Linked DNA regions of Elephas maximus indicus. The protein of the gene in region 2 purifies or fractionates together with the protein of the main gene of each other region. This does not show direct contact. Links are inferred from orthologs where the notes say so. Each region holds a gene or a part of one and is shown on either strand. Other genes may lie near its edges. The genes, in order: EVI5, RAB11A and WDR44.

The links.
Region 1: the proteins of RAB11A (region 2) and EVI5 purify together in Homo sapiens (co-immunoprecipitation; 3 studies listed by BioGRID and IntAct, with this or other methods). This does not show direct contact. The link is inferred for Elephas maximus indicus from reciprocal best matches to the Homo sapiens genes RAB11A and EVI5.
Region 3: the proteins of RAB11A (region 2) and WDR44 purify together in Homo sapiens (affinity purification with mass spectrometry; 3 studies listed by BioGRID and IntAct, counting the BioPlex papers as one, with this or other methods). This does not show direct contact. The link is inferred for Elephas maximus indicus from reciprocal best matches to the Homo sapiens genes RAB11A and WDR44.

The regions. Positions count from the first base shown.
Region 1 is NC_064821.1:149,454,058-149,465,285, reverse strand, and holds the start of EVI5 (ecotropic viral integration site 5 protein homolog), read right to left. Parts: upstream 4,587-11,228; 5' UTR 4,143-4,586; coding exon 4,101-4,142; intron 1-4,100. UniProt on the Homo sapiens protein: Functions as a regulator of cell cycle progression by stabilizing the FBXO5 protein and promoting cyclin-A accumulation during interphase. May play a role in cytokinesis.
Region 2 is NC_064831.1:55,953,391-55,964,388, reverse strand, and holds the start of RAB11A (ras-related protein Rab-11A), read right to left. Parts: upstream 4,945-10,998; 5' UTR 4,799-4,944; coding exon 4,759-4,798; intron 1-4,758. UniProt on the Homo sapiens protein: The small GTPases Rab are key regulators of intracellular membrane trafficking, from the formation of transport vesicles to their fusion with membranes.
Region 3 is NC_064846.1:38,683,382-38,693,737, forward strand, and holds the start of WDR44 (WD repeat-containing protein 44), read right to left. Parts: upstream 4,337-10,356; 5' UTR 3,907-4,336; coding exon 3,830-3,906; intron 1-3,829. UniProt on the Homo sapiens protein: Downstream effector for Rab11 which regulates Rab11 intracellular membrane trafficking functions such as endocytic recycling, intracellular ciliogenesis and protein export.

The DNA.
Region 1 (11,228 bases), on a different chromosome or scaffold from region 2:
TACACTTCAGATTTGTACATTTTGCTGTATGCAGCCACAACTACATTTTAAAAATACTGCTACCTGGGTCCTAAGCCAGAGATTCTGATGTACTTGGTCAAGGGAGTAGCATGGAAATTTTTTAAAGTTCCCTGTGTGATTCCAGCATGCAGTCAAGGCTTAGAACCACTGCCTTAGAGTCCAGAGTAAAACTCCTAATCAATAAGCCCCATCTACAAGCTCAGGGACTTCCAATCAGCTTCTAACTGCCCACTCTTAATCATGAGCCCACAACCAAGGATTCCCAGACCTCTGAGGAGGGCTTCTACTGCTAATAGACGGACCAACCCAAACAGAGAAAAAAAGTAACTTGGAAAAACAAGCTATGCAGGGAAAAAAAAGCTTAAAGAAACGATCATTAACATCTTCAGAAAGATAAGATATGGAACCCATGAAACAAGAAAAAAGATGGAGAAATAAGTGACTGAGTTGGGGAGAGGAAGTTGGAACCTACAGGGTGGCTGAAGAGAATATGCTCAGAGAGCAAGCTGATTTGCCTCACTCACAGAACCCCAGAGAGGCTCAGGACTTAGAGCTTCCAGGTATATCACCAGTGGGGGAGAGGATGGTGCTGAAGAGAAGGGAAGTAGTTTAAAGTCTGTATAATGTACAGTTAGGCCCTCCAGGTTCCGTTCCCCACCACCATTCCCACAATTTCATAAATTTATTCTTTGGAAATACTGACCTAGAGTGACTCTAGACTCAAGAAGAGTAGAATGGAGTGAGGCCCAAGGCTGAAAGCCAAGGATTAAGCACAAGTGTGTAGTGTGAACAGTAAAGCCCACCACCACAGCCCTCTTTCTTTGCCTCGTATTCAGAACACTGAAAGCCAGACATACACTCTTTGATTTAGTTACCCCCTTCGTGTGCCCTGGTGGTATAGAGTTCGGCTGCTAACCTAAAGGTCGGCAGTTCAAATCCACCAGCTGCTCCTTGGAAACCCTATGGGACAGTTTTACCCTGTCCTATAGGGTCGCTATGAGTCGTGACTGACTCGAGGGCAACAGGTTTTTTTGGGTGTGCCGCCAGATCAATTTCCATCACAGCACTTCCCCCAGTGGAAGACAGTGGTCTTTTCTTGAATTCCTACTATCACTCTCTCTCAGACTTTAAGCTCTTTAAGGGCAGGGGCAGCATTTTACTAGCTTTGTACTCTCAGACCCTAACATAGTAACTGTCAATATACTAAATCTTTAGTTCATGATAGACACTGAAGATACCATGCAAAAAAAATACCATGTAAAATTTAGTTGGAAAACTAGAATATACAAGGTGGAACTTAGACTAGGTCTTAAATGGAAACTTTGAATTCAGTGATGAAATAATGTCTGGGATTTGTTTTACATAAATCCAGAGGGGCCACCCGCAAGGGAAAAATATCAGTTGTGTGTCTATATGCTAGCCACAAACGTTTTAAAAAATCATTTACAATCACATCAAGAAACATTAAATACCTAGAAATAAATAAGAAAAGATATGCAAAACTTCTACACAGAAAATTACAAGACATCACTAAGAGAAATTTTCTAAAACCTAAATGGAGGGATATACCATGTTCATAAATTGGAAGATTTAATATTGTTAAGATGTTAATTCTTCCAAATTGATCTATAAATCCAATGCGATCCCAATTTCCAAAATTTGTGGAAACTGACAAGCTGATGCTGAAATTTCTATGGAAATGCTAAGAGCCAAGAACAGCCAAGATTATCTCAAAGAACAGAGCTGGAGGGCTTATACTACGACTTATTAAGGCTTATTATAAAGCTACATTAATTAATACAGTAATACTAGCGCCAGAATAACAAATAGACCAGTGGAGCAGAACAGGGTGTCCAGAAACAGAATGACACTTATACAGTCTGATTTATGAAAAAGTGCCACAGAACAGAGGGGCAAGGATATTTTCAGTAAATGGTGCTGGATCAAATAGATATCCATATGGCAAAAAGTGAATCTTGACCCCTACCATCTATCTGGAATTTATTGTAAACTGGACACCCTAAAAGTGAAAAGTAAAACAATCAAACTTTTACAAGGTAACACAGGAAAATATCGTCATTTCTTAGGCTAAGTGCAGATTTCTTAGGAAACAAAATGTAGTAACCATAAAGGAAAAGATTAATAAAGAACATTTCATTAAAAGTAAGAACTTCCATTCATTAAAACAGTGAAACGGCAAGATACAGAGTGGAAAAAGATAAATGCTGTGTGTGTGTGTGTAAATACACACACAGATATACACCCACACCCTAAACAATCTGCTTCTGAAAAGTCAGCATGAATGCCACAGTGCTGTTCTGCTCTGTACCACACAGAATCACCATGAGTTGGAATCAACACAAAGGCTACTGGTTTATATATATCCAGAAAGAACACATATCCCTAATAAAAAATTACAAATCAATAAAAAAAAGAATACCAAGGAAAACTGGGCAAAGACTAAACAGACACTTCACATGAAGTCATATAAATGGCCAGTAAAAGATACCCAACCTCAATCATCAGGAAAAAAACACAAAATAAAATCACAGTGATATATTACTGTACCTCATAGTGATGTATTACTGCACCTCTACCAGAATAGTAAAAAATTTTACACTGACAAGCACCAGCAATGATGTAGGGCAACTGGGTTATTATTCCCTGCTACTTGGTACAACCACTTAGGGAAAATGTTCAATAGCATGAATACTGAAGTTTGATCATTCACATACCTTGTTGTTAGGTGCGATGGAATTGGCTTTCGACTCACAGCAACCCTTTGTGACAGCACAGAAGAGCCCCACAGAGTTTTCTAGTTTGTAGTCTTTATGAGGGAGCCCTGGTGGCACAGTGGCTAAGATCTCAGGCTGCTATCCAAAAGGCTGGCAGTTCGAATCTACCAGTCCATCCTTGGAAACTCTCTGAGGCAGCTCTACTCTGTCCTATAGGGTCGCTATGAGTCGGAATCGACTGGACGACAAAGAGTTTGTTCATTCGTTTGTTTTTTCGAATCCTTATGGGAGCAGATCACCAGGTCTTTCTCACTGGAAATGCTGGTTGGAACTGAACCACCAACCTTTCCCATTTGCGCCACCAGCATGTCTAACACCAGCGATTCCACTCCTCCACACAATATCTGAAAGAGTCCTGGTGGTGCAGTGGTTAGGCGCTTGGCTGCTAACGGAATGGTCAGACCCACTAGCCATTCTGAGGGAGAAAGGTGTGGCAGTCCACTTTTGTAAAGATTACAGTCTTGGAAACTCTATGGGGCAGTTCTACTCTGTCCTATAGGGTCACTATGAGTCAAACTTGACTGGAAGGCAACAGGAATACAGTATATACTCTTGGAGTCCTTCGGTGGTGCAAACAATTATCGCTCTGGGCTGCTAACCAAAAGGTTGGAGACTGAGTCCATCCACAGCTGCCTCGAAATATAAGTCCTGGCAATCTACTTCCAAAAAATCAGCCATTGAAAATCCTATGCACAAAGTCCTACTCTGATACATATGGGGTTGCCAGGAGTCAGAACAGACAGAATGGCAACTGGGTTTGATTTGTGCAGTGGTTCATTTCATAAAAATTCATTATCTGCACACTTAAAATTGTGCACTTTTTCTGTGCACCTCAATAAACTTTCTAAGATTCCTCTGACACAAAGTTCTCAGAGATCTAGGAAAAAGCTTCTGGTAAACTGATAAAATTTTACAAATATAATTAAAGAACAAAAATGCCACTAATACATACCAGCCCACAATCAAAGTAAAAACTACCAAGAGATAATTTTTCTTGAACTTCATGAAGCACTGGAATTCCTTCTTACAGCAAAGAAAGGAGTTTATTATTCCACATTGTAAGCGAAAGAAGAGATATCTTTGCAAGAAAATGCGGCTGCTTTTCGAAAACATCCCCAATAGCGACAGACAGGAGAAAAGTGAGGGAACCATTCCAAAAGTTTTGGTTAACTCTTTGGTGAAAGGATACTACCTGAGATGGTAGGAGACGTCCAAAAGACAGAAAAAAACACAAAAATGTTACAGCAACTCTAGAGCCAACACCAACACCACAATCCAACCTACCGGAAATCCTGTGGTTAATTTGAGGCTTGCCCCGCTAGTCATAAGGTGATTCAGTGATGGCTACAAACCCTCCCCAAGTGCATCCTTGGAGTCACCTGGCACACCTGGAATGCCCATCACCTGTCTGTAGACACCGCCATACGCAAAATCCAAGGAGGCTATATAGAGTCTCCAACTTTGCAGGTAAGGGGCGCAGATGGTATCATCCCCTCAAGGCCACCCAGAGAGAACCCACTTCTGGCCTCGAGGGCTGGGGTGCAGGGCCCCGAAGCTGCCCCGTCCCTCCGCCTCTGGGACTCTACAGAAAAACCCGCCGGTGGTGAGTTTCTTCCCCGGCGCCCGCGGAAGGAGGATCCCGACAAGCGGCAGGCAAGGAGGCGAGCGCAGGGAACTTAGGCCCCGGCGGGGTCTGGCACGCCTGCCCGCTCACTCGGCAAGTTTGGCGGCAGCCCCTTCCCACTGCGCCTGGGCCCCGCCGTGCGCCCCCGCGGGGCCCGGGCTTGCGGCCCGCCCGGCCTGGCGCAGCGCCGCTCACCTTGGAGACGTTGGGTGAACTCCGCTGTAAACATTAACTTCCCATCCAGCCGGCAGCCGCGCCACCGTCGCGCGTCCCAGCGCCTCGGCCCGGCTCCTGGATCCGTGGGCCGCCGTCTCACGCGTGCTGCACTAACTCACGAACTCGGGGCCTCCGCCGACCCCCACCACCCCTCAGAATGCCGCCGCTGGCTCAACCACTGTCCGGCCCTTCGCCCGTCCGCCTGCCGGGTTCTCCAGGGTCCGGCCTGGCCGCGTCAGGAAAACCCAAGGCGCAGGCGCGGCAGGGCCTTAAAGAGACCCGGCCGCCTCTACCGCATAATAGATTCGTGCAGGTTAGGGGCCGGGCTGGCCGGCCAAGAAAAGGAGAAGCCGAAGGGATTGGACGGAGCGAAGCGGGGGCGGGGAAATCCTTCCCTCTCCGTTTTTCTTGCAAAGCACCAGCCCTCAGTCCTGCAAATTGCGACTTCCCAAGTCATTTGAACCGCCCCTTCCATGTTAAAGCTGCGGAAGGCGCACCCCCTCAGAGCGCAATCCCACCCGGCGCTTAGGGCTGCGGAGCGCGCACTGCCGCACCGCCCACGCTCCTGTTTCCTGGGCTGCGGGCGAGGGGCGCAGATGCTCAGGCTTCAAAAGGCCGTCCTGGGCTCAATAACAATAATCAACGTGTAAGTGGCACTTGTGATTGCAAAGCGTTCCACCCTCACTAGTCTCTTCACACAGGGTCTATGCAGAGTCCGGCAGGGGGTAGAGCCTGGGCATAAATAAATGACGTCCACTGGGCCGCCATCCAACATCCACGAAGAAATTCTTAGAAGGAAAGTACTTAACTTTGGAACGGAAACAATCTGCTAATTCTCGTCCTATCCCATTGCATATGCAAGAGTCATTACCGATATCTCCCTGGTTATCTGTAATAAGCATTTCAGTAGAGGAAAAAAAACTCCATTTTTTTTCAACGAGGTTAGGAAACACCAAAACATAGGAAGTAAAGTAATGGCCTCCACCCAGCTCAGAACTTTAAAAATTCGCAATTTTATGAGGCAAATTTTTCCATATAAACTAAGAGACGTCCTTGATGTCAACAAATCCTGCTGACTCTACCTCCCAATTTTTCCCTTGAGCCCGCCCTCTTCTCTCCATCTATCTGCTCCACCACCACTCCAGTTAAGCTACTAGTCCGGAGCTGCAGATCTAGTCTTCTAATTGGTTTCTCCACGTCCCCTCTAACCCCTTGCCTTGGAGTCGATTCAGATTCATAGCGACCCTGTAGGACAGAGTAGAACTGCCCCATAGAGTTTCAAGGAGCAGCTGGTGGGCTCGAACTGCAGGCTTTGAGTTAGCAGTCAAGCTCTTAAGCCTCTGCACCACCAGGGCTCCACATCCCCCTCTAGCCCCTCTCTGATCTCTTCTCCACACAACAACCACAATGACTTTTTCACATCTTCCTTCTAGTTTGAACCCCTGCTGAGAATTTGCATTTCTACCAAGTTCCCAGAAGATGCTAATACTGCTGGTTAGGGACCAATCTGAGAACCACTAGTAGAGCGGTGGGTCTCAGTCTTAATTATACATAAGAATCACCTGGGGGTTTTATTAAACTGTAAATTCTGATTCAGTATATTTGGGGTAGAAATGCAAATTCTCATCCTTACCCATTCAAAGCCCTGCTTTTTCAAAAACAAATACGCTACATAAACCACTTCAATAGCTTTCCATTCTCTTGGACAAAACCCCTTAACTAACCAACTTTGCATGATCAGGACCTTGCCTGCCCTCTACTTCTGCTACCACTCAGATCTTACTGTTTCTGCTTTCTGCTCCAGCCAGGCTATCCTCTTCCAATCTCTCCTACTTACCAGCTTCCTTCCTCCACAGAGTCTTTGCACATGCTTTGCTGTGCCAGGAAAACTCTCCCAACCCTCATCCTCTGGTCTCAGCTCAGGTCTCCACCGTAGAGAAACACCCTATGACTTGCCTACCTTGGCCCCATCCCTGAACCGAATTGCACTGAAAGTGTAATTGTATGATTATTTGCATGATTTTTTTTTTTTTACTCCTCCACTGGACTATTAATTCCATGAGGCCAGGAGCTTGCTTTGTTTTGTTCAAGGTTGTATTTCCATATTTGTTCAATATATATATTTGTCCAGAAAATAAATGAGAGTCATAGAATGCTAAAACTTGAACTAGACATGGCTTTAAAGGTTACAGAAGTTACAGAAAGCTGAAATGTGACATTTGGAATCAGAGTCTAAAATAACCCCAGTTATCTTAAAACTGATTCTATATTGTTTTAGCTGGGCTGTCACAAGATTCTTTGGAGAACCTTTTAAAATCTGAGTCCCTAAAGCACCTTATATAAACCCCTATAATAATTAATAATGACAGCTACAGGATAAACCCACAAGACAACTAATAGAATTGGTTTCTTCAAGGGAGGAGGACCGGGTGACTGGTGGAAATGGGTGGAAAGGAAACTTTTTACTGCATGCCTTTTTGTACCTTTTCAATTTCAAGCCCTGTGAATGTATTTTCTAGTCTAAAATGACACAAAAGAGTATATGATTCCATTTATTAGAAATTCTAGAAAAGGCAAAATTGATCTATGGTGAAAAAACTGGTCGCTTCTGGCAAGAGATTGTCTAGGAAGGGACATAAATTTTCTGGTTGATAAAAATATCTTGAGAGGGGTGTGAGTTACACAGGTGTATTATTTTATCAAAAATGTATAGGTAACATTTAGGCATTGTAATGAAGGTAAGTTTTTCCTTAAAAACTGTATAAAAATAAACAAAATTTAAGAAAATAATAATAGCTAAAACATAGTTGAGCACTCACTGTGTACAAGTATTGGCTAATTACTTTACATACATCATCTATTTTAATCTTCATATTATTCCCATGAGGCAGATATTATTATCATAACCTCCTTGCATATGAGGAAACTGAGACTTAACAAATACTAAGTAGCTTGCCCCCCTGTATATACAATTGGAAAGTGGTGGAGCAGAGCTTTGAACCCAGTCTCATGCCCAAAGTGGTAAACACGAGGCCCTATGTCCCCTCTCCGGAATTGTAATTTTTTGGCTTATATATTATTTCCTACCCACTAAATCAAGAGTTTCACAACGATAGAAACCATATTTTGTCGTAGGCTTCTCAGTAGCCCCAGCACTTTGCAGGATAGCTGCTCAATGTATTTTGAAGGAACGACAAGGAAAAAGCCTGGGGTTGATTTTATTGGTGCAGATTACATAGGGTTGCTATGAGTCGGAATCGACTCAATAGCAATGGGATTTTTTGTGTGTAATAGGCATACATACATATATTAATCACTATGTGACCAAGGTTTCCTGTATATACATACATATATATATATACATAGCTCTTAATCACTACGTGACCAAGGTTTCCTGTATATACATACATATATATATATATACACATATATGTATGTATATACAGGAAACCTTGGTCACATAGTGATTAAGAGCACATATATGTATGTATATACAGGAAACCTTGGTCACATAGTGATTAAGAGCTATGGCTGCTAACCAAAAGGTCGGCAGTTCGAATCCACCAGGTGCTCCTTGGAAACCCTATGGGGAGTTCTACTCTGTCCTATAGGGTCACTATGAGTCAGAATTGACTCGACGGCAATGGGTTTGGTTTTGGGGTTTTTTTATATATATAAATATATGTATGTGTCTATATATATATGTATACACATACCTATACATACGTATATGTGTATATATACAATCAGTACTGCTGTGCTAAGTGCCTAAGTTGAGTTATCTCAAATCATGTCACAGACCTGAGGAGAGAAGCTGGTACCCATTACCCCTATCCCCAGTTTACCCCATTCCTTCACTCACCCTGAGCACATTAATTTCGTTGGTGGAAGAGCTTACACTTTATCTTTTCACTGAATAGCTGATTCTAACCAGAGATCTGACTTGCCCTCCTTCCAAGCCTCTCACAAGTGCTTAAGCACTTGCGTAAGTGAAATTCCATGCTGTGAATTTCACACGAGCACCACTCCTGCTCCAGCTCTCCCCTACTCTGCCATTCACTCTGGAACCTCACAGGAGGGACAGAAGAGGGAGGAAGCACAAGGGCAGTGGGCAGTGACACCCTCCTCAGATAGAGCTTTATGTGCAGTAAATTCAGTTACCAACTCAAAGCTTTCTATTTTTTGATGCTGCACACTCTTAGTGTTGATTTGTGTCACTGTCAGGGAGGGAAACAAAAGGAGGGTCCAGTTCCATCCCCTCTAAACCTGGCAAGGGTTAAATCCCAGACTGTCATACTCTCAACTGCTAAACGTGTTTAAACCAGCCATGTGAGTGAGCCCCATTGCTCACAGAAAGGAAAAGCAGAGGCATTTCCCTGAGAGGCAAAAAACAACCCGAGATACAGAAGGCAGGGTGTTGTTCATCAGTGAGTTTGACTCACCAGTGTAGTCAAACCCACTGGTGAACAACATCCCGTCCTCACCCTGGACAACCGGTATTTGGCTTCCTTAGAGAACCGCTTGTCTCAGCTACATCTTAGGACTGTGTTGTACAATACAGCAGCCCACTTAGCCACATATGGTTATTAACGTTTAAACTTACATTAATTTAGATTAAACTAAAAATTCAGTTCCTCAGTCACACTAGCACATTCCAAGTTCTCAAAAATAGCCATATGTGGCTAGTGGCTACTGTCTTGGACAACACACATGTAGGATGTGTCCATCCATCAGAAAGTTTTATTGGCAGTACTATTCTTGAAAAAACAAGAAACAATACTCCACGCACCTCTCAGCTAATATTCAAGAACTTTTTGCTTTGGAAAAATGAAGGCTCACAATGAAATCGTTAACAGCCTATCTCATTAGGTGCATTGCTTTCCACAATGTACTAATCCAAAAGGCACTCAAACTATGGCCTCCATTCATTGGAGTTGTAAGGATGGTTTTAACCTCACTACCTCCACCACGTTCCATTGCTTGCAAGACACTGACACTATCTTAGGAAGAATACTGTTGAGAAGCACACATTTCTATTTCCATCTCTTGGCACTTGTGCACAACTAGAAACTGGATCTGCCATGGTTGTGGTAAAGAACAAACTTTCTGAATCTAGAGCTTGGACATCAGTTCTGTATGTGGTGGTAGACATTCAAAACATCAACCCAACAACAGCATTTGAAACTGCACAACTGAAATGGAAGATCAGTAGAGACATTTTTGAGAAATGATTTTATTCAAGTGCCGATTTCCATCCTACCCACCAAAAGAAGTCCATTCATTTCTTAACTTTCTGAAATATTTGTTTTAAAGCAAGATAAAATTCGGTGGAATTACAGTAGTAATTCCGCTAAAACTTTCCATTTTCTCGGAACTAGTAACCTCTGCACTAATGCAAGTGACTAGACTATGACCAGAAACTTCAAGTATGGATGCCAAAAGTGTACTTAACCTCTTTGAACCCCAGTCTTCTCATCCATAAACTGGAGATAATATCTATTTAAGCATTAAAGTGAGAATTAAGTGAAATAATATGTGCAAGGTACGTAAGTATTCAACACATGATCCAAAACCCTGTGCCGTCAAGTCGATTCTGACTCATAGCAACCCTATAGGACATGGTAGAACTGCCCCATAGAGTTTCCAAGGAGCACCTGGTGGATTTGAACTGCCTGCCGACCCTTTAGTTAGCAGCTGTAGCACTTAACCACTACACCACCAGGGTTTCCCAACACATGGTAGCCATTATAATTGTTATTATCCATTCCCACAAAACACCACCATGCAAAAATAAGTAAATAAAAGACTCTAAAATTAGAAAAATTCTGACTCCACCACCTCCTAATTGTCTGACAATTGACCTCTCTAAACTTTCGCTTCTTTATCAAGTTAATAAGGATTAAGAAGAGTTCCCAACAATAGATGTGTTATTTCATGTGAAGATGTTCTGATAACAGTAAAGCCAAAAAAAAACCAAGCTAGTGTAAAAAAAAATAATAATAATTTTTTTTTTTTAGTGTTAATTAGCACTCTGCTCCCACCTCCAGCAAAAAAAAAAGATGAGGGAACTACGTTTGAGAGAATCATGCTTCACAGTAAAATTTATTTAGCATTTGTTATAAACTGTGCCCCTAATACAACTGGGAAGCAACAAACTGCTGAAGCCATCACTGAAGACCACACTGCCACCAAACAAAATTTGTGAACAAATACTCTGGCTCCCAGTCGCTTTCCTTAGCTAATCTTTATTCTCCAGATGAGAAATTTGAAGCCCATGCAGCCCACAGCAGGCCTTCTCTGGGAATGATAACCAGCAGTCAGTTACAGCAAGGAGAGAAATGGTGTTGAATTACAAAAAGCCAATTACTAAAATACCTTTTTTACAGGTGTGGAATTAAACCTAACGCTTCATAAAGCCTTGTTCATCACATGAGTGGTCACAATATAACAAGATAACATTCTTAAAATAAAACTCAAGTCATTTTAAAAAGCTGTTTCTGTGTTTTGAAGATTGAGCACAGTACACTAATCTTAACTAGACACCAAAATATTTCCTGTTGCAGCAATTGCAT
Region 2 (10,998 bases):
GGGGTTGTTAACCAATTTTATAAAACAACATGTTCACTAACTGTTTAATGAGAAACTAGTTTGTTCTGTAAACCTTCATCTATTAAAAAAAATTTTAAAAAAAAACCAACTTCATGTACTTTTCTCCATCGACTCAAATTTGAATAATTTCTAATCAAAATAGTTTCTCTCATTTAGATGACATTTAATTGTTTTAAAAATGTGATAAACCATATAATCACATCCACACTTCAAGAAAGGAATTTGCAATGACTTTCCTGTTTAGAAAGAAGCCCTGATGGTGCAGTGGTTAATGGCACATGGCTGCTAAACACCAGCAATTTGAACCCACAAGCTGCTCCAAGGAGAAGGATGTGGCAGTCTGCTTCTGTAAAGATTTACAATCTTTGAAATGCTACAGGCAGTTCTACTCTGTCTTACAGGGTTGCTAAGAGTCAGAATTGACTAGATAGCAGTGGGTTTGGTTTGAGTTTCTATTTAGAAGTCCCTGGATAGTGAAACAGTTAGTGTACTCAGCTGATAACCAAAAGGTTGAAGGTTGGAGTCTGCCTCGGAAGGAAGGCCTGGCAATCTACTTCCCAAAAAATCAGCCACTGAAAACCCTACGGAGCACAATTCTACTCTAACACACAAGGGGTTACCATGGATCAGAGTCAACTCAATGGCAACTGGCTGGTTCCTATGTATTCCACAACTAGTATCTTAGGTTAAAAGTACTTCCTCTTTAAACATTTTATAACTATAGCCATCTATGTGGTATTTATATACTAAATAATATAACCAAATTAAACAATAGCATCTAGAGATTAAACATCTATAACCAAAACAAAACTAAATAACATTTCTAAAATAACCTGACAGTATTTATCACCTTTGGTTAACCTCATCTGATGAATTTTAAGTATCATCTCTAAAACCCAATATTAAATTTTGCTCATAATCTATGTCAAACATCAGGCTGCTAAATGCCATAAAAGCAAAATATACATATAAATTTTCATTATTTAACATAAATTCCTATCTCTACCACCACATTTAGTTTTATACTCTCTCCTGCTAATTTACTCATCTGAAATTCAATTTGATGTATCAGTCAGTGTATCTGACCTAAAAGTTACAACCTGACAAAGTCACTAATCATTTTCATACTACTATTCATAAATGAACATGGAGATGCTTCTACTCTTTCAACTATATTCACAGTCCAACCTCACCAAAAGCATCTTTAAAATAAAATGCATTCAATAAGGCCAAAGTCCAGACGAGTTTTTCCAGATTCGGCAGAATTCAAGTTGCTCAACCAAAAGTTGTGAAAGAAAAACTACCAAGATGCAAGACAGCGAAGTTCCTAGGAGCCTCTCTACCAACAAGATGCAAGACAGACAAGATGCAAGACAGCGAAGTTCCTAGGAGCCTTTCTACCAACAAGATGCAAGACAGCGAAGTTCCTAGGAGCCTTTCTACTGACAATCAGCTGATGGTTAATTACCACTGACCTTCGGTGAAACTGAAAAGAAATTGCTGGAAGCAATAGACTGTATATCCAGATATTTTTAGAAAAGGTGATTTCAATTAGACTGGTGTCTATCACATTTATTTATAAACAGGGGCTATGATTGATGCTTACCTCACTTATGGGTCCCATATGGCTTAACACATTGTGTGTAAATACTTGTACAATTTTTATTTAAAAAAAAATATACAGTTTTAAAAAAATAAAACTAATTTGCCCCCATCAAAAGTCTCACTGTTCAAATTAACTAAAGATTAAAGTTCAAGAACAAATTCATCATTTAGAATAATTGTCCTGCTCTCCCCACATCGAATTCCCATTTGGGAATTCTAATCACATCCTATCCTAATCACAAAATCCCTTCATTTTCATCAGTTACAGTTACAAACTATCTCCCAACTCTCTCACTGTTTAGTTTGCTAGGTAAGCCTTCTAACAGACATACAGCTTCTCTGTAGAATAAAACCATTTAAAAATGAAATTATTCTTCCTTCCCTTTAAAATATCATTACTATACTGATTAATAAATATAATCATTACATAAAATATTTTTTAAATATGATTTATAAAAGAATATGGCTAAATAATAAGCATTGAAGTTTTAAAAAACTGATTCACATCTTGTAAAAACTTTAAAAAAGTGAAAATCCTCATCACCACGTTTTTTAAAACACTATTTTAAAACAGCAGAATGTGCAACGAAATGAAATCTTAACATAAAATATAACATAGAAACAAAATACTTTAGAAGCTCCAAGTTTTGAGTTTCTTTACTAATATTTAAATGCTCACATATTTATAACGATTTAAGGTTTAAAAAACTGACAAGAACTTCTTCATTATTATCATTTATCGAAACCTCACAGAAGCTAAAATTTCAGTCTCATTTAATCCTTACAATAGAGTGGTCCTATCTCCTTTTTACAGGTGAGGAAACTGAGGTTCAGGAAGGTTAACTCTCCAAGGTCACAAAGCAAACATACGACCTGAGCCAGGATTTGAATCAAGGTCTGTGCAATTCCAAAGCCCTCAATCATTGTTAGACAGGTGGTCTAATTGCAAAATTATTTTGATATCAAAAGTTTAAATTCCTTAACAGACTGGAAGGGCTGACTCATTAGGGGCAGAGTAAGTGGGAGTATGGAGTAAGGTGTATATAAGCTTATATGTGACAGACTGACTTGATTTGTAAACGTTCACTTAAAGCTCAGTAAAAATTATTAAAAAAAAACTAAAGATTTCCTTTAAAAAAAAGTTTAAATTCCTTAAACCAATTCAGGACAATTAAAATTATTAATTTAAAAAGTTAATGGATTTCTATGCCCATCATTCAAGTTACAGACCAAACAGGAGAAATGCTCTGGACAGTCTGTCTTATTCTAAATTAATTACTTCAAAGGTAGCTAGCTGCCCTCTGCCACTGTGCCTTATTTAAGAAAACAAACCTTTATGACTTTAATGATTAAACCCCCCAAAGTCTCTAGGGACTCACAAAGTAATTTCACATCTCCCCAGATGCCTTCAGCAAGCAGTACATAAAGGAACCTAGGTTTCCCCTTTATATTTGTAAAATGCATTAAGGACCCTCTTCTCTGAAAATGCGTTTCCAGCATGGGGGCGAGGGTGGATACCGAAGGTTGGAACCCCACTATTATACTCCTCTGGGCCATATTTTGGCCCAGAGGAGTAAGTGATGACAAGGGTAGCTAGTATAATAAGATTTGCGAAGTATTGGTGAAGCAAAGAAATTTTTCCTGCCTCCTTTAGTCAGTCATTCCTAGCACCCAATGGCAAAGTCAGAAACACTGCCTAACACTCCGTTTAAACTCCACCCTCCACTGTGAAGCTTTAATAGCAATGGCTTCTTCCTCCCCAGTAATGATCTTTGTTCAGCACATTACTGACGCCTGCCCTCCTAATTCAGAAGCAGAGAAAGCGCATCGGCGTGAGAGAACATTCACTAAACAAAAAAGCATTTACTGTACTATTTTCTCATTGAAAAGTGTATCCTTCATCCTTGATGATTTAAAAAAAAAAAAGCTATTTGGATTCTTTCCGGACTAATAAGCAATTCTTTGTATCCATTTCCCCCACTCTCCAAAATGTTTTGTCCAAGGGCACTACATGTTTCTCTACCTTATAATAAATATTTAATATGACCCAAAAAGCATGCAACCTCCCCTCCCCTTACCCACCACCTTTTGGAAAAGGTATGGAGCCAACTAGGGCTCTTTCCTTCCTGTTCTAAAAACACCAAAAGATTGGATCCTCCCAGCGTTGCAGCAGGAAGCAACCAGACCATAGTGATAAAGCTCGCTAGTATTTGTGCAGCGCACAACCTTTCCTGCTCAGGAACTGGGCCTTCAGGTCTGGCAAGGATAACAGCCACCACCCATCCGCAGCCCCTTCTCACGAGTTATCCCAGGCTGGATGCCGCTGGGAAGGGCCGGCAGGAGGGGGAAGTCCTATCCGTGTGCCGGGTCATTGCGACAAGCGCGCGCCTGGGTGACACAATTCCCCTGGCCCCCCGCCCGCCCCCCGGGGTCGCACCAGAGACGTGGAAGGGAGGGATGGTGGAGGAGAAGCTGCCAGTCCGCGGGGCGGCCCGGGAGGTTACTGACCGCGAGAATAGCAGGGGCAGCGGTGGGGTGCGGGTGGAGGCCACTGACCCGCTCAGATTTTACCAGGGCTTGGCCGGGGGAGGGGGGGGCGAGGGAAGCCGGCTAGGAGGGGCGTCCGGCCGGCTCCGGGCTAAAGAGAAGCAGAGGAGACCTGGAGTGGGAGTCCCCGGGCCGAAGGACAGCCGAAAAGGGAAGCCAAGGGCCTGCCGGAGGGGCTCCCGGAGGGGCTGTGCGCGGAGACCGCTGTACCCTGAGGGGGAGGAGGCGCAAAGGCAGAAAAGGGAGATGGCACGAGGGGCCCTTCGAAGGGGCCTGGGCGCCCCGGGGAAGGAAGGAGGAAAACCCTCCGGGAGAAGGGAGAAGGCAGTCGCCGGGAGGACGCCCAGGGAGGGGTTCCGGGGCTAGCGGGGGCCTACGGGAGGTCGCTAAGATGGGTGTGTGGTGGGGACCCCTTGTGTGAGGGGAGCGAGGCTGGGCTGGGAGACGGCAGGACGAACGGCACAGAGAGGAAGGGCTGAGGCAGGCCCATGTCGGCACAGGGGTGGCCCGCGCGCGGGTCCCCCGGGAGTGTCCCGGGCCCCCGAGGGGGGACTCGGTAGAGAGTGAGAAAGCCCACAGTCTCACCTTTGAAGAGGTAGTCGTACTCGTCGTCGCGGGTGCCCATTGCGCGGCCGAGGAGCGAAGGGGCGGGAGCAGCAGCGGTATCGGTCGGTAGGACCAGGGGGCGTCGCTGCAGGGGTAACCCGAGCGCCGAGCTTCAGATGCCGGACCCGGTAAAGAGCCCCGCCCTGCCGCTGCGCCACTTCCGGCAGGCCCCAGCCCCTCAGGGGAAGTACTTCCGGGGAGGCGGTGCCCCGCCTCCAAGCCCAGAAACGTGGTACGCGGCCAGGGTCGCGACAGCCTTCCGTTTCTTAGTCCTTCAAGGAAGCTCAAATAGGAAAACGAGTCCTGGATGCCCAGCTGATCACGCCGTTAATGGCCTCTCGTTCATTCCATACGCACCTCGCACTGCCTTGCCGGAACCGGCGCTGGGAGCGCATCAGACCCGCCTCCGAATAGTGGGTTTGTGGATGGGGGCGGGGTTTTCTAAGGTTTAGACAGCTGAAGGCGGCTGCATAAGTGTGGCGGTTCCATGGTGTAATGGTTAGCACTCTGGACTCTGAATCCAGCGATCCGAGTTCAAATCTCGGTGGAACCTGCAACGGCTAATTTTTTTCTGATCACAATTATAGTTCGTTTATTCACTAAGTCGTTGTTGTACAACTGCGCTAGGTCTGGCGTTGAACTAAATAGAATGAGAATTTCGCAAAACACAATCTTTGCCTCTGGAGACCTCACAGATTATCCCTTTCAGTTCCATACTATCTGCCACCTCTACATGAGGATCTTGTGAGGAAGGAGCTTCTTCACTTAGCCTCTTTAGCCTCAAACCCTAATTCAAAAGCTTCTTCAGTGAAATTCCTTTTGCTGGAATTTTCTATCTCCAGCTCCATTAAAGAACAGGCAGGCTCTTCTATTCGCTCCTCTCTGGAAATCTCTCAAACTATCTCCAGATGTCACTCAGAGGACTTGGCCCACCCTCCTCATCAAGATTCATCCAGAACTTTGTGAGCCTTTACTATTTGTCAGCCTCTAACTTAAAGTAAGCCCGTTTTCACAATCATTTAACAGGAAGAGCAAAGGACAGCAATTTCCATTTTAGTGGCTTACTTTCCATTTTAGTGAATAGTAAGACTGAAGTGATTTGCCAAGGATCACAGCAGGCCTCCTTATATTTGAGAGTTTTGTAATTCCACAGAGCTCTTTCCCATTTATTGTAACATGCCGTACATACTGCCTATATACAAACTCTCAATTTAGACTTTTGGGGAAGGGTACTTGTAGGCAGAAACAATGGCCCTCCAAAAAAGTCCATGCCCTAAATCCGTGGAAACTGAATATGTTAGGTTACATGGCAAAGAAGAATTAAAGTTGCTAATCAGCTGACCTAAAATAGATGGATTATTCTGGATTAACCATGTGCACCCAGCGTAGTCATAAGAGTCCTTAAAAGTGGAAGAGAGAGGCAGAAGAGGTGAAAGCGATGTAATGTAAGAAGGATGGACCAGCCTTTGCTGGCTTTGAAGGTGAAGGAAGGAAGGGGGCCATGAGCCTAGGGATGAAGAGGCCTCTAGAAGCAAGGAAACGGATTCTCCCCTAAAGCCCCAAATGGAACACAGTGTGTTGACACCTTGATTTTAGCCCAGTGAGACCCATGTCAAACTTCTGACCTACGGAACCATAGATAATAAATTTGTATTGTTTTATGCTACCTAGTTGTGATCATTTCTTATGGCAGCAATATGAAACTAATGCAGTGCCATTGTCAGTGCTTTCTCTGCCAGTATAAAGTGATAGAAGGTTTATCTAAGGTCCTAGGTACTGCCTTGTGCACGGAGTGAACACTATCCACATTAGGGGAGAGGCAGGATGTTACACAAACAATCAAGTATTTACGGGATACCTATTACATGCTACTACAGATTATTCTTAAGTCACAGTCCCAGCCCTACTCAGGGATCAGACAAGATGGGCCCAAGAAAGAGGGAATATCAATAACTAAACAGTTCAGTAGGAATAACTAGTGAGAGTTCTTGTGATAAGTGCCAAAGTTCAGAGAGACTGATATAATTAGGGAGAACGCCCTGGAGGAGGTGGAACTTGCTCCATCCTCTAAAGGAAAACTCTAGGAAGGAAACTCATTTCGGGAAGCAGGAGAAATTAGATGGTAAGAATATGTTGAGCAAGGTGTTGATGCCAGAAGACTTTTGAACTTTTCCCCATAAGTCATTTTTTACAATGCGTGTTTTGAGGTCAATAGTCTTCCTAAAAAGAAGGATTGGCAGATAAGTAGAGCATTACTGAAGAGGAAGAACAAAGTGGGAGGCCTCACACTATCTGATTTTAGAACCTATTACACCACCACAGTAGTCAAAACAGCCTGGTACTGGTACAACAACAGATACATAGACCAATGGAATGGAATTGAGAATCCAAACATAAATTCATCCACCTATGAGCAGCTGGTTTTTAACAAAGGCCCAAAGTCTGTTAAATGGGGGGAAAAAGTCTGTAACAAATGGTGCTGGCATAACTGGATATTCATCTGCAAAAAAATGAAACAAGACCCGTACTTCACACCATGCACAAAAATTAACTCAAAATGGATCAAAGACCTAAATATAAAATCTAAAACGATAAAGATCGTGAAGAAAAAATAGGAACAATGCTAGGAGCCCTAATACATAGCATAAACAGAATACAAAATATAACTAACAATGCATAAATACCAGAAGAGAAACCAGATAACCGGGAGCTCCTAAAAAAGAAGCACTTTTACTCATCAAAAGACTTTGCCAAAAGAGTAAAAAGACAACATACAGACTGGGAAAAAATTTTTTGGCTACGACATACCCACTCAAGGTCTAATCTCTAAAATCTACAAGATACTGCAAAGCCTCAACACCAAAAAACCCATTGCTGTTGAGTTGATTCCGACTCATAGCGACGGGATATGACAGAGTAGAACTGCCCCGTAGGGATTCCAGGCAGCACCTGGTGGATTCCAACTGCCAACCCTTTGGTTAGCAGTCAAGGTCTTGACCACTACACCACCAGGGTTTCCTCGACAACAGAAAAAAAAACCCAATTAAAAAATGGGCAAAGGATATGAACAGACACTTCACCAAAGAAGACATTCAGGCAACTTGTATGAGGGTAGAGAGGCTGGGCTGGGAGACGACAGGAGGAAATGGTCATGATCAGAAATGCAAATCAAAGCTACAGTGAGATACCATCTCACCCCAAAATGGCTAGCACTAATCCAAAAAACACAAAATAATAAATGTTGGAGAGGTTGTGAAGAGACTGGAACACTTACACACTGCTTGTGGGAATGTAAAATGGTACAATCACTTTGGAAATCAATTTGGCTTGTCCTTAAAAAGCTAGAAATAGAAGTACCATATGATCCAGAAATCCCACTCCTTGGAATATATCCTCGAGAAATAAGAGCTGTCACATGAATAGATACATGTACACCCATGTTCATTGCAGCAGTGTTCATAATAGCAAAAAGATGGAAACAACCTAGGTGGCCATCAACAGACAAATGGATAAGCAAATTGTGGTATATACACACAATGGAATACTATGCGACACAATGGAATACTATGCAATGATAAAGATCAATGATGAATCCGCAGGTTGATCACTGATCTTTATCATTGCATAGTGTTCCACTGTGTTCATAATATTCATTCTCACAACATGGATGAATCTGGAAGGCATTATGCTGAGTGAAATTAGTCACAAAAGAACAAATATTGTACGAGACCACTACTAAGAACTCAAGAAAGGGTTTAAACACAGAAGAAAACTTTTTTTGATGGTTACGAGGGAGAGGAGGGAGGGAGGGAAAGGGAAATTCACTAACTAGATAGTAGACAATTATCTTAGGTGAAGGGAAGAACAACACACAATAGAGGGGAAGTCAGCACAACTGGACTAAACCAAAAGCTAAGAAGTTTCCGGAACACAACCAAACACTTTGAGGGACAGAGTAGCAGGGGCTGTAGTCTGGGGACCATGGTTTCAGGGGACATCTAGGTCAATTGGCATAACAAAGTTTATTAAGAAAATGTTCTGCATCCCACTTTGGTGAGTGGCATCTAGGGGTCTTAAAAGCCTAGTGAGCAGCCACCTAAGATGCATCAATTGGTCCCAACCCACTTGGGACAAAGGAAAATGAAGAACATCAAAGACACAAGGAAAATATCAGCCCAAGAGACAAAAGGGCAACATAAACCAGAGACTCCACCAGCCCGAGACCAGAAGAACTAGATGGTGCCTGGCTACCACCAATGACTACCCTGACGGGAAACACAACAGAGAGTCCCTGATGGAGCAGGCGAAAAGTGTGATGCAGAACTCAAATTCACATAGAAAGACCAGACTTAATGATCTGACTGAGATTGAAGGAACCCTCGAAACCATGGCCCCCAGACACTCTGTTAACCCAGAACTAAAACCATTCACTCTTCAGACAAAGATTAGACTGGACTATAAAGCATAAAATAATACTCATGAAGAGTGTGCTTCTTAGTTCAAGCAGATACATGAGACCAACAGGGCAGCACCTGTCCGAAGGCAGGATGAGAAGGAAGAAAGGGACAGCAGCTGGTTGGACGGACACGGGAAACCCGGGGTGGAAAGGAGGAGTGTGCTGTCACATTATAGGGATTGCAACTAGTGCCACATAACAATATGTGTATAAATTTTTGTATGAGAAATTAACTTGAGCTATAAACTTTCATCTAAAGCACACACACACACACACACACACACACACAAAGAAAGAAACCAGAGACAGGACCCCGATTCCTGCCCCAGGGATTACAACCCAGGCTCAGACCAGGCTTTTTTCCAAAAATGTTTTTAATTCCAACATCCGTCTTAATGGCATACTACTGCATACTAATTTATCCAGTAGTTGTTGTTATACTGAAAATGAAAGCTAATGATTTCAGCTACAAACAACTAAGCCAATACTATAAAAATATATTGTAAGACACTGAGAAAAAGAAGGGTTGCATGGTCAAACGCATTGAGAAAAGCTACACATTGTCTCTCTCCTTAGGAACTCCCTTAGTGCAGTGACAATTTAAAGTCTCTAGAAATTCTGCTCTGATGAAATCTTTTTTTTTTTTTTACCTGTATTGAACACAGCATTTACCAGATTCACGAGATCACAGAACTCTCTTCCCATGTGACACCTGTTAGCGTGCCTCTGAACACTTTGGTAGATGCTCTGACATGGAGTCATCATTAAAGATTTGTGAACAGAGGGGTAACTGAGTAATACTGGATTTGTGTCTTAGGGAAAGCCTAAGACGGCTATGGACTGATATATTTTCCTGCACACAAAACTTTTTTAATCAATATAATGCTGTAACTACGATAAAAAGCAGAAATAGGAAAATAATTTGTTATAAAATGACACAGATTTCATATGTTAATGCTTGGGCACAAGGATAATAGAAGACATGATAAAGTAGTCAGATGCTTGCACCTAATAGCAGAATCATCATTCATTCAAAAAATATATATTGAGTACCTACTATGTGTTGGACACTGTCCTACGTTTACTGCCTCACGGAGCTTACATTCTAGCAGAATAGCGGGAGGTAGACACCAAACCATCAACATAATACGTAAGTAAATTGCAAATTACATTACAAAAAGAAAACTCAACCTATTGCCATCAGTTCCGACTCATAACAACCCTACAGGACAAAGTAGAACTGCCCCATAAGGTTTCAAAGGAACAGCAGGTGGATTCAAACTGCTACTTTTTGGTTAGCATCTGGGCTTTTAACCACTGTGCCACCATGGCTCCGCGTGTTACTTTAGAAGGTGGTTAAGTATTATGGAAAAAAAAAAGAATGTGGAACAGGAGTAAGGGAAAACTACAGTGCAGAGCAATAGGAAGGTAGGTAGCAGGTTGCAGTTTTAAAATAGAGTGGTCAGGGTAGGCTTCACTGAGAAAGTAACATTTGAGAGAAGATTTGAAGGAGGTAAGAAAATGAATCATGCAGATATTTGCGGCAACAGTGTCCAGGCAGAGGGAATAGCCAGTGCAGAGGCCCTAAGGTGGAACTTGTCTGGCAAGCTTGTCTGGCTTTAAGGGGCCGGTGAGGTAGGCAGGGGTGGGTAGTATAAGTAGAAGCAGAAGTAGGAGAGAAATGGATCAGAGAGGGCCTTCTAGGCCATGGTAAGGACATTGACTTATACTCTGAGTAAAACAGGAAACCACTAGAAGGTTTA
Region 3 (10,356 bases), on a different chromosome or scaffold from region 2:
TAGGAATTGACTCGATGGCACTGGGTATATATAACTGGTTTTGATTGGATTTGCTTTAGCTTAAAACCAAGATTCCATTAAAGGGTATATAAACTTAGGAAACCCTGGTGGCGTAGTGGTTAAAAAGGTCAGCAATTCGAATCCACCAGGCGCTCCTTGGAAACTCTATGGAGCAGTTCTACTCTGTCCTATAGGGTCGCTACGAGTTGGATGTGTATATATAACCCATACTAATTAGCAGGGGCATTCATCTCATACATCATTTACTCAATAAATACTTACCATAATTTCAAATCTATGGCTCTTGACCATGTATCAAAAGTCATTAAGTTTGTTAAATTAAAAGGTAAAATAAAATGCTGGCAAGATTTCTCAAGAACTTAAAGCTTATCAATAAAAGCATATTCTTAAACCTCAATTCAACAGAGTTGGAAGGGCTCTCAGAGTGTAATCTTTCAATTTAAAGAGAAGGAAATGAAATGACTCACAGTCCAGGCCTCTTTTCTACTATACCACAGTTCTTCCTCCTCCCCTTCCCGCACTATCAAAAGATAGCACCTTAACAGAAAACATCTGATTATGAAACTGATCTGGGTTCTAGTCCTGGCTCTGCCATTTATTTGTTGTGGCACCTTGGCCAAGTCATTTCCCCTCTCTGGGCTTGAGTTTTTCACATCATTTGCTATGAAGGGGTTTATCCCTCACGTCCCTTCTAGTGTTAACAAGCTATGATCTTGTAAAACTCCTATCTAATAACACAAAAATACATAATTGCTGAAAGAAAAAGAGGGGATTTCCAGCCAAGAGAACTAAAAAGTTCTAGCTGCTGGTTTTAAATAAATAAGTTCAACTCTGCAGGATGGTACTAAAGCATTTTACTCCAGAATATCTTGGGGAAGGACCCCTCCTTCCCCCTACCCCTCCCCTCGTGTTGGGTAGCTATGATGTACTAGGACAAAATACTGAACTAGGAGTCTGAAGAGATGGTTTCAAATCCCAGCTCTGCCACTTACAAGCTGTGTCTTCTAGGACAACTCATTCAACCTCTCTGAGCCTAAGGTTCCCCATATGAAAAAATAAAAATAAGGAAACTCGAAGTTTAGAGATCAAACAAAATAAAACATTATAAATGTGGTATATACTGCAAAGCTGGGAAAGTGGAGACGATCTACTACTGAGGAAAACCACGCTGTACTGGAATTGAAAACCTTTCTACCAAAAAATTAGGCTAATTTTTAACTTATTAAATTTGCTTTAAAAAAGTAGAATACCAAAGCAGAAGACACCATTGGAGCAGAAATGCAAGAAACAAATCAATTTTAAGAAATGGATTGTGTATTTAGATTCTGCTGGTTAATAAAACATGAAATAACTCTCAACTGCCTACTCGGTTTAGTGAGATTTGGTGAAATGGTCTTTGTATTCCTGAACACACAATAGCAAGCAACATTTCTTAAAGTGCCCAAATTCAGTCTATTAACCTCTTGGAGTTTGTCTAATGTGACAATCCAGTTCATACCAAGGAATAGGAGGTATTTCTGATGACCACATATCTGGTGACACCATCTGTTTCCACTAAATCAACATTTCTCACTGCATTTCCAGGTGGTTCTTAGTTGCCCAGGCAAGTCTCATTACCATAAAAAAAAAAACCAAAAAACTACCCATACCTTATGCAAATAACAAAACCAGAGGAAAGGGATGTAGGAAAATGTAAATGAAGCCAACCTTTTTCTTTCTTCCCAGCACTGCTAATTCTTTTCACATGCAATTCCCTAGATGAGCTTAATTGTCTTCTAAATTCCCTCGGAAACTCTATGGGGCAGTCCTACTGTCCTATAGGAGGATCACTATGAGTCGGAATCGACTCGACCGCACTGGGGTTTTTGGGGAAGACAACATGAAGCCGTGAAATCCACAAACTGACACTGTAGTTTTTATCCGTAGAGCTCAACATACTCAGTATTTGGGCAGGTTAGAATTAAAATTAGAAAGCCGGGTCCCAACACACTTTACTTTTCACCCAGCATCAAAGGATCCAAGTCCTTGAGAACTTGTATTATCCCACTGGGGAAGAAGTGACTATCAATTCTATCAAAATGACTCATCCAGTTTAGATAAATTAAATAGCTCCAAGTTCTGGATACTTACAAAGTAAGCACTGTGTGAAGTTAATAAATTTGCTAATTCCAAGAAAGGAAGGAGAAAGGAATGTTGGAGTACTCTCTTTGTGCCAGGCACTGGACTAGGCAATTCACACAGCTCCGGATGTAATTGTCATTCAAAATTAAACTTATTTTACTCAACGTAAAGGAACAATATCTATGTTGCTCTAAACTGATTACAACAAGTAAACTGTTGTTTCCTCCTCTCCCTCCATCTCACATACATACACACAAAAGTCAATCATTTAACCTGAATTAACAGTTCATTACTTTTGAGAGTTTTGGAAACCACAAAAACAAAATTTAATTTGAAGGCAGCAACACTGAAACCAAATGTATTTTCTATCCTCTACCATCTCGCCATGAACTTGTCTGATGTTGAACCTGAAGGAGATTCAGTGTCATCTCAAGGGTGGCGAAAGTGATCTCAAAATCACCCAAAAATCCAACATAATATGAAGGTTGGTGGCTACACACACATCTGTAATCTACCAATGCACATTTATGACCGCTTTGATAATTTTTCTTGGTCTAGATTATGTCACATACATTAGATTTTAGAACCTACTTCTAGAATGTAGGGACAACTTTATTTGCATCAAACAGGGTCTTTTCTTCCGCAAGGAAGCAGGAGAATTGAAGGCAGGTGAACTCCTGGAACCATATTAGTGCCTTACGTTAAAATACAAATTTTTCCAATTCTCAAGCTCTTACAGCATGAAAATATATTTCATTGCCTCTAGTACCACACAAGTCCATATAAAAGTTCAGCGAAATCGCTTTCAACATTATTTCAACTTTGAAAAGTGAAAGAGTGGGTTACCAGAAATCCTAGTCAAGCGAAGCATTCCAACTACTGTACTTCCTACTCAGGGTCTCTCATGTTAATCAAAAGTAAACTAAAACATCTTGCAGAATTAGATAAAGAGCACAAAGCTGTGGCTCTCCTACCAACCACCAGATTACTCAGCACTTGTTTGTTTGTCTGTAGTCGGTTGTGTACATTTTCCGGCTACCCATATAGACCGCATTCTTCCTAACGATAAGGACCTTGTCTTCGATTTCCTTTGCCTCACGGTAAGGTACTATTTTAATAACACACTGCTGATCTAGAGTACATCAGCTGGAGGACTTTACTAAGTAAATACCCAACCTTTCCTCCACTCCTTTTCTTCCTCTGCAAGGAAAAGAGGACAGCAAATAGGGGAGAGTTACAGCTACCTCTGAAACGAATAGGTAAGTCAGCCGTAAAAGGAAGGAAAAAAAAAAAATGTGAAGCGCAATTACTCCTGCTACTGCCCCTTTAATCTATGGTCTCCGAGGCCAAAACGGACGTTTGAAAGGTAAACCCCAAACCCTGCAAATACAAATCGCTGGCTCTCAAGCACGTCAGCTGTCTCACCTCGCAAAAAGCAGGGCAAGCCAAGAAAAGGGCTCCGAGTGAGCCCCTGGGGCCGTTCATCAGGGAGAGGAGGGAGGGCGCGGTTACTCAGGTGGGTAACTCCCCCTCCCCTGCATCACCCTCCCTAAGGAGCCCCACGTCTGAGGTCTGAAGTGCCGGAGTGTGATTGTGGGAAGCAGCGGGACCTGAGAGAGATATGAGGCACAGAAGCAGCCAGGAAACGGGGATGCTCGGCTTCTGAGCCGTAACTCCAATCACTTACGTTAAGGGGTAGCCGCCCCCTAGGTGCACATCTTCAGGGGCATCGTAGAATTCCTCGGTGTCGCTCTCCGACGCCATTTATAGGACACACCCGCGGGTGAGGGGGCCGGCGCCGCCTGAAGAGAGGGTGACTCTCGTCTCCTCCTTGCCGTCCTCCACCCCGGCGAGACTGGGGAGGTGGGTCCCGGGCAAGGATGAGAAGGGAGCAGAAAATCTGGAGTGAAGAGTCGGTTAGGGACAGAGGGCCGCCCTCAGCTGCCGGGCTGCGGGAATGACCCGGAGAGCGTCCGCCTGAGGAGGCGGCGGTGGTCCGGGGACTACTGCTGCCGCCGCCGCCGCCGCCGCTCCTGGCGCTAGGTGTACAAGGAGAACGAAAGAAGAGGCGGTGGCTCTTCTCCGTGGGGGAGGGCGGGCGCGCCGGCGACAGCAGCTCCAATTTCTCCCGCAGCCGCAATTACAGCAGCTGGGAGAGCTGGTTGTCCGCAAAACACCGACGCGCACCTACCATCGCGAGATTTCGGGAGGTGGACGGTAAGGCGTGGGCGTGGCGAAGAGGAGGCGGGGGCAGTTCTGAGAGGCAACGCTCGGATTACTTTTGCCCCAGAAGCCTATCAAAACGGCCCAAGCGCGTTGAGGGCGTTCGGAGGGGCCGGAAGTAGCCCGGAAGGGAGGTGGTGAGCCTCAATAAGGGAGGAGTCTAGAACTTGCGCAGGAGCAACGTGGTGCCCGGGTTCTGAGGGCGTGTGCACCGATGTTGGTAGGGCTTTGCGGAGTTGCTTTACGTACTTACTCAGCAGTTCCAAAGGGAGGCATTTCAAGAGGGATGATTTTGAGTCTGTTTTTAAAATTTCTCTTATATATGAGGAAATGTTGTCGTGGCCTTTTTGGTTTGCATTTACATTGTCTTAATTCAAGCCCGGAAGATCCCACCTTGGGGCGTAGGCAGGGCCACCACCTCTTGCGTTACGTGAATATCTCGCTGGAAACCCTGGTGGTGTAGTGGTTAAGTCGGCAGTTTGAATCCACCAGGCGCTTCTTGGGAACTCTATGGGGCAGTTCTGCTCTGTCCTATAGGGTCTCTATGAGTCGGAACGGACTCGACGGCAACGAGTTTTGGTGGTATCTACTACAAGATCTCTAACTGAGATCCCTAGATACAGTCCTGCCGGCCAGAGGATAAGATTCATGAGAGACACGCGAGGAGTGTGCCCGTTCCACGGAGTTAGGATGAGTTTATTGCTGGAGCTGGGCCAGTATAGGAAACCCTGGTAGCATAGTGGTTGAGAACTATGGCTGCTAACCAAAAGGTTAGCGGTTCGGATCCACCAGGCACTCCTTGGGAACCGTATGGGGCATTTCTTCCCTGTCCTGTAGGGTCGCTATGAGTCTGACTCGACGGCAACGGGTTTGGCCAGTATAAGGCCTCCAGTTACTTTTTTTTCTACAAATATCTGTCGCTGCCCACACTTAATGTGAGAGAAATTTTTACATACGCCCAAGATGTGGGTCAGTCAAATGGTAACTAATGTACTGAGCAGAAAACAGTTGCAAGGCTAACACCTAGTTAACTTAATTGTGCTCCTCCACTGACCAATGTCCAGTGATGAAAATAAAAAGGTACTTTTTAAAAGACCAAGATGTTCTTTCTTAAACGGGGCATTGACTTTCAAAATGATTACATTAACTTTCCTTATGATCGTGAAGCACAATTATTTCTCCCACTGACATCACGGCTGTCAGCCACTTTGAGCGATTTGCGCAGCCTCAGCTGTTACTCAAAATGGCGGCAGAAAAGATGAGTGGGGCCAGGGACATGGGTTGGCATTTAATTATAGATTGTATTTGATTGCTGTTGGTTTTGTGGATTGATAGAAAAATATTTATAAATGCTGTTTTGTGACACCCATGTAACATAATGAACTGGGGGAAAAGCCTATGTGTTAACTAGTAAACTCAAGTTCTGAATTATTGACTTACAGAGATAAAATAGACTGTAGCAATATGGCAGTTACAGGACTCAATTTGAATCTGTACAAACTCCTGTAACTTGAAAAGTATTCTGTTTTTGTGATAACCTGCTTAATAAAATAGGCTAGATAAAAATTCGACGGCACTGGGTTTTTTGTTTTAGATAAAAATTGGATTTTTAAAAATGTTAAAAACTTAGGTAGTGCCCCGTATGTGATTTACTGTATATAAATATGTATGCAGCACACATAAACATGTATATACACATGCCTACAGATGCCCCTGTATACCCACACCCATATAATCACACATGCCTTCCTATACACATATATGCATATGTATCTACATATTTTTTTGGTTGTTATTGTCATTGCATAGACTATTTGTTTCAGTATTATATATGGCTACTTTTACAGCAGAGTTGAGTAGTTGAGACAGGGACTGTATGGCCTGCAAAACTTAGAATATATACTATCAGGCCTTTTACTCTGGACATGTTGTGTAATGGACTATTACGTAGCTGTGCGCTACTGTTCAAGACTCTGGAAGAAAGCTAACTGGAATTATCTTAAAAAAGGAAATTATTGGCTTGAATGATCAAATACAGTCAGCTGTGCTATAACACTTGTTCGTTCCACTGTGATTGGTATCAGAGAACAATTTGAGCATAACATGAATTTTGTGTTTGCTTAAGCGTGGTTTTGTCAGTAGGAAACACTAGGTGAAATCAGAAAATTGCATCCAACCGAACCAAACTTCATCAGAATACAAAAAAATGCACACACACGCACGTACAGACACTTGCCTCAAGCATCTACCAGCTGCCTCACTTCACCGTGTGTGTTATGTATTAGACCTATCCACATCTCTTGTTAACAATCTTTTGTCTAATTTCAGATAACCCTCCTTCCACTAACCCAAAACTCGTTGCCTTCGAGTTAGTTCTGACTCTTAAGACCCTATAGGACAGAGTAGAACTGCCCCATAGGGTTTCCAAGGCTGTAATCTTTAAGGAAGCAGACTGCCACATCCTTCTCCTGTGGAGTGACTAGTGGGTTCGAACCTCAGACCTTTTGGTTGGCAGCCAAGTGCTTAGCCACTGTGCAAACAGGGCTTCTTCACAGTAACAAGTTATAACCCTTCTAACACCCACTTCCACAGGCAAACTTCAGGTCTTTTTCAAAGTAAAGTGCCATCTTTATTGTAGAATCTATGTATTTCTTAACCATTTTAACATTTGTAAGGAGTCCCTGGGTGGTACAAATGGTTAACGTACTCAACTGCTAACTGAAAGTTTGGAGCTTTGAGAGAGGTACCTTGGAAGAAATGCCTGGCAATCTGCTTCCGAAAAATTAGCCATTGAAAACCCTATAGAGCCAGTTCTACTCTGACACACATGGGGGTATGTCAGAATTGACTGCATGGCAACTGGCTCATCTGGTTAATGTGTAAAATTGTGCTACCATTTTTATTAGGTTCATTTTTTTTATGTGTCACTGACAAAGGTTTTTTTTCCTTCATTTTTTTACTGTGATAAAAATATATCTGATGTTTGCAAAGTCAACAAGTTTTATGTGTATAATATAGTTACATTGATAGTACATCATGTACATCCATTACCACTATCTTTTTCCGAATTATTCTACCACCATTAACAGAAACTCAGTGTCCCCTAAGCCATGACTCCCTTTCCCCGCTCCCTCCCACCCATGGTAACCACTAAGCTTTGGTCTCTATACATTTGTCTATTTCATATACATGGGATCATACAATATTTGTCCTTCCGTAACTGACTTATTTCACTCAGCATAATGTTCTCAGGGTTCATCCATGTTGTAGCATGTATCAGAACTTCATTTCTCTTAATGGCCAAGTAATAAACCATTGTATGTGTATGTCACATTTGGTTTATTCACTTATTTGTTGATGGACAGGTAGGTTGTTGCCACCTTTTGGCTATTGTGAATAGTACTGCAGTGAACATTGGCGTACAGGTTTCTGTTTGCGTTGATGCTTTCAAATCTTTTGGGTATATACCTAGGATTGGAATTGCGAGGTCATATGAACTGATAAGTTTTTGAATGTTCTTTCCCAACTCCATTTTCTGTCTAAGCCATTTTTTTTTTTTTGCCCAGTTTTACGTAATACAGGAATTCTTAGGATTGCATGTGTTGCCTTATAGCAGAATTGACTGTAATCCAGAAGCAGTAGCTTCAGGCATGGTTGTGTCCAGAGCCCAAGTGATGTCAATACTCCTTTGGTCCATCTCTCATCTTTGCTTATCTCTGCTTTTTTTCGTGCTTTGGCTTCAATTTTCCTACTCAGACAGCTTCCATCTTGTAGCCAGGGAAGATGCTGCAGACAATTTCAGTTATTACTATTGTTGCTAGGTGCCATCAAGTCAGTTTCGACTCATAGTGACCCTATGTACAACAGAACAAAACATCACCCAGTCCTGTGCCATCCTCAAAATAGTCGTTATGCTTGAGCCCATTGTTGCAGCCACCATGTCAACCTATCTCGTCATGGGTCTTCCGCTCTTTTGCTGACCCCCTACCTTACCAAACATGATGTCCTTCTCCAGGGACTGGTCCCTCCTGATAACATGCCCAAACTACATGAGGTAAAGTCTCGCTATCCTCGCTTCTAAGGAGCATTCTGGCTGTACTTCTTCCAAGACAGATTTGTTCATTTGTCTGACAGTCCATGGTATATTCAGTATTCTTCATCAACACCATAATTCAAAGGCATCAATTCTTTGGTCTTTCTTATTCATTGTCCAGCTTTTGCATGTATTTGAATAACAGTCGTATTAACTAGACTTCCTTGTAGGCCTATGGATACTATCCTATCCCTGACAGCATTGTACTTCAGGATAGATCTCGAAATGTTCTTTCTGATGATGAATGTGATGCCATTCCTCTTCAATTTGTCATTCCCGAAATAGTAGACCATATGATTGTCCAATTCTTAGTGGCCAGTACTGGTCCATTTCAGCTCACTAATGCCTAGGATATCAATGTTTATGTGTTCCATTTCATTTTTGACAATTTCTAATTTTCTTAGATTCATACTTCATACATTCCACATTCTCATTATTAATGGATGTTTGCAGCTGTTTCTTCTCATTTTAAGTCATGCCACATCAGTAAATGAAGGTCCCAAAAGCTTGACTCCATCCACATCATTAAGGTTGACTCTCCTTTGAGGAAGCAGCTCTTCCCCAGTCGTATTTTGAGTGCATTCCAACCTGAGGGGTTTCATCTTCTGGCACTATATCAGACAGTGTTTTGCTGCTATTCATAAGGTTTTCACTGGCCAATTTTTTTCAGAAGTAGACTGCCAGGTCCTTTTTCCTAGTTTATATTAATCTGGAAGCTCCATTGAAACCTGTGCACTAGGGGTGAACCTGCCGGTACTTGAGATACCGGTGGCATAGCCTCCAGCATCACAGCAACACGCAAGCCACTACAGTATGAGAAACTGACAGACGAGTGGTGGATTATTTTGTAAACAAGGGGAAATATTAAAAGAAAATATATAGCCAAGCATATACAATGTAGATATATATATAAACTTAAAGCCTGAAATTTATTTCTAACACAATACATGACTGTGAGACCTGGGCCTATTGCAGGCATCCCACTTTGCTTCCGGATCATTTTAATAAGTGCCACTGAGAAGATGAACTTGGAAAAATTACCTACAAAGCGAATCTTGGAATGTAATCAGTCGACTGGTTAAAAAGTCATATTTTCTACATTTCAAAGTCATCTTTTCTGGACTGCAGGCCTGAGACATAAAGAGAATAGTAATGGGAATTTTAAAGTAATTGTGAAATGATGCACTGATGTGGAGCTTCTAGAAGCAAAGTATAATGTTAGAGGTACACTTCTAATAATATGGACCAGCCATAATTTTGTTTTTCAAAATAAGTAAGTAGTATACATGGCCTTATCTAAAGGGAGATGAACTAAGACATATGAACTTTATGCTTCAAAATATCACCTCAGATCATAAACAGGAAACATCTTTTGTTTCTCTTCCCATGGCATCTTTATGTATGTATTTTAATTGCCAAAGCTTAATCAAATGGCAAACATTTATTTAGAAATATGAGTCATCATGAGTAAACACACACAGGGACACTCATACACACATTGAACAACAACAACTGAATTTCATGGAATCTTACAATTGGAAGGGACTTTCAAGCTCACTGGTCCATACCTCATATCTGATGCATGAATTCATTCCATAAACTTCCCCAAGCTTACTATTTACCCACTCCATTTTTTATATGTTTTTTAAAAATGTTATTGTGGTGATATATATATATATATATAAAACATAAAATTTGCCGTTTTATTCCATTTTAAGTGTATTATTCAGTGACATTGATTGCATTCACAATGCAACCATCACCTCTATCCATTTCCAACCCTTTTTCATCACTCCAAACAGAAACTCAGTACCCATTAAGCAATAACTCCCTATTCTCCATACTCCCCCACCCCCACCCCTGGTAATTACTAATCTGCTTTTGTCTCTATGCGTTTG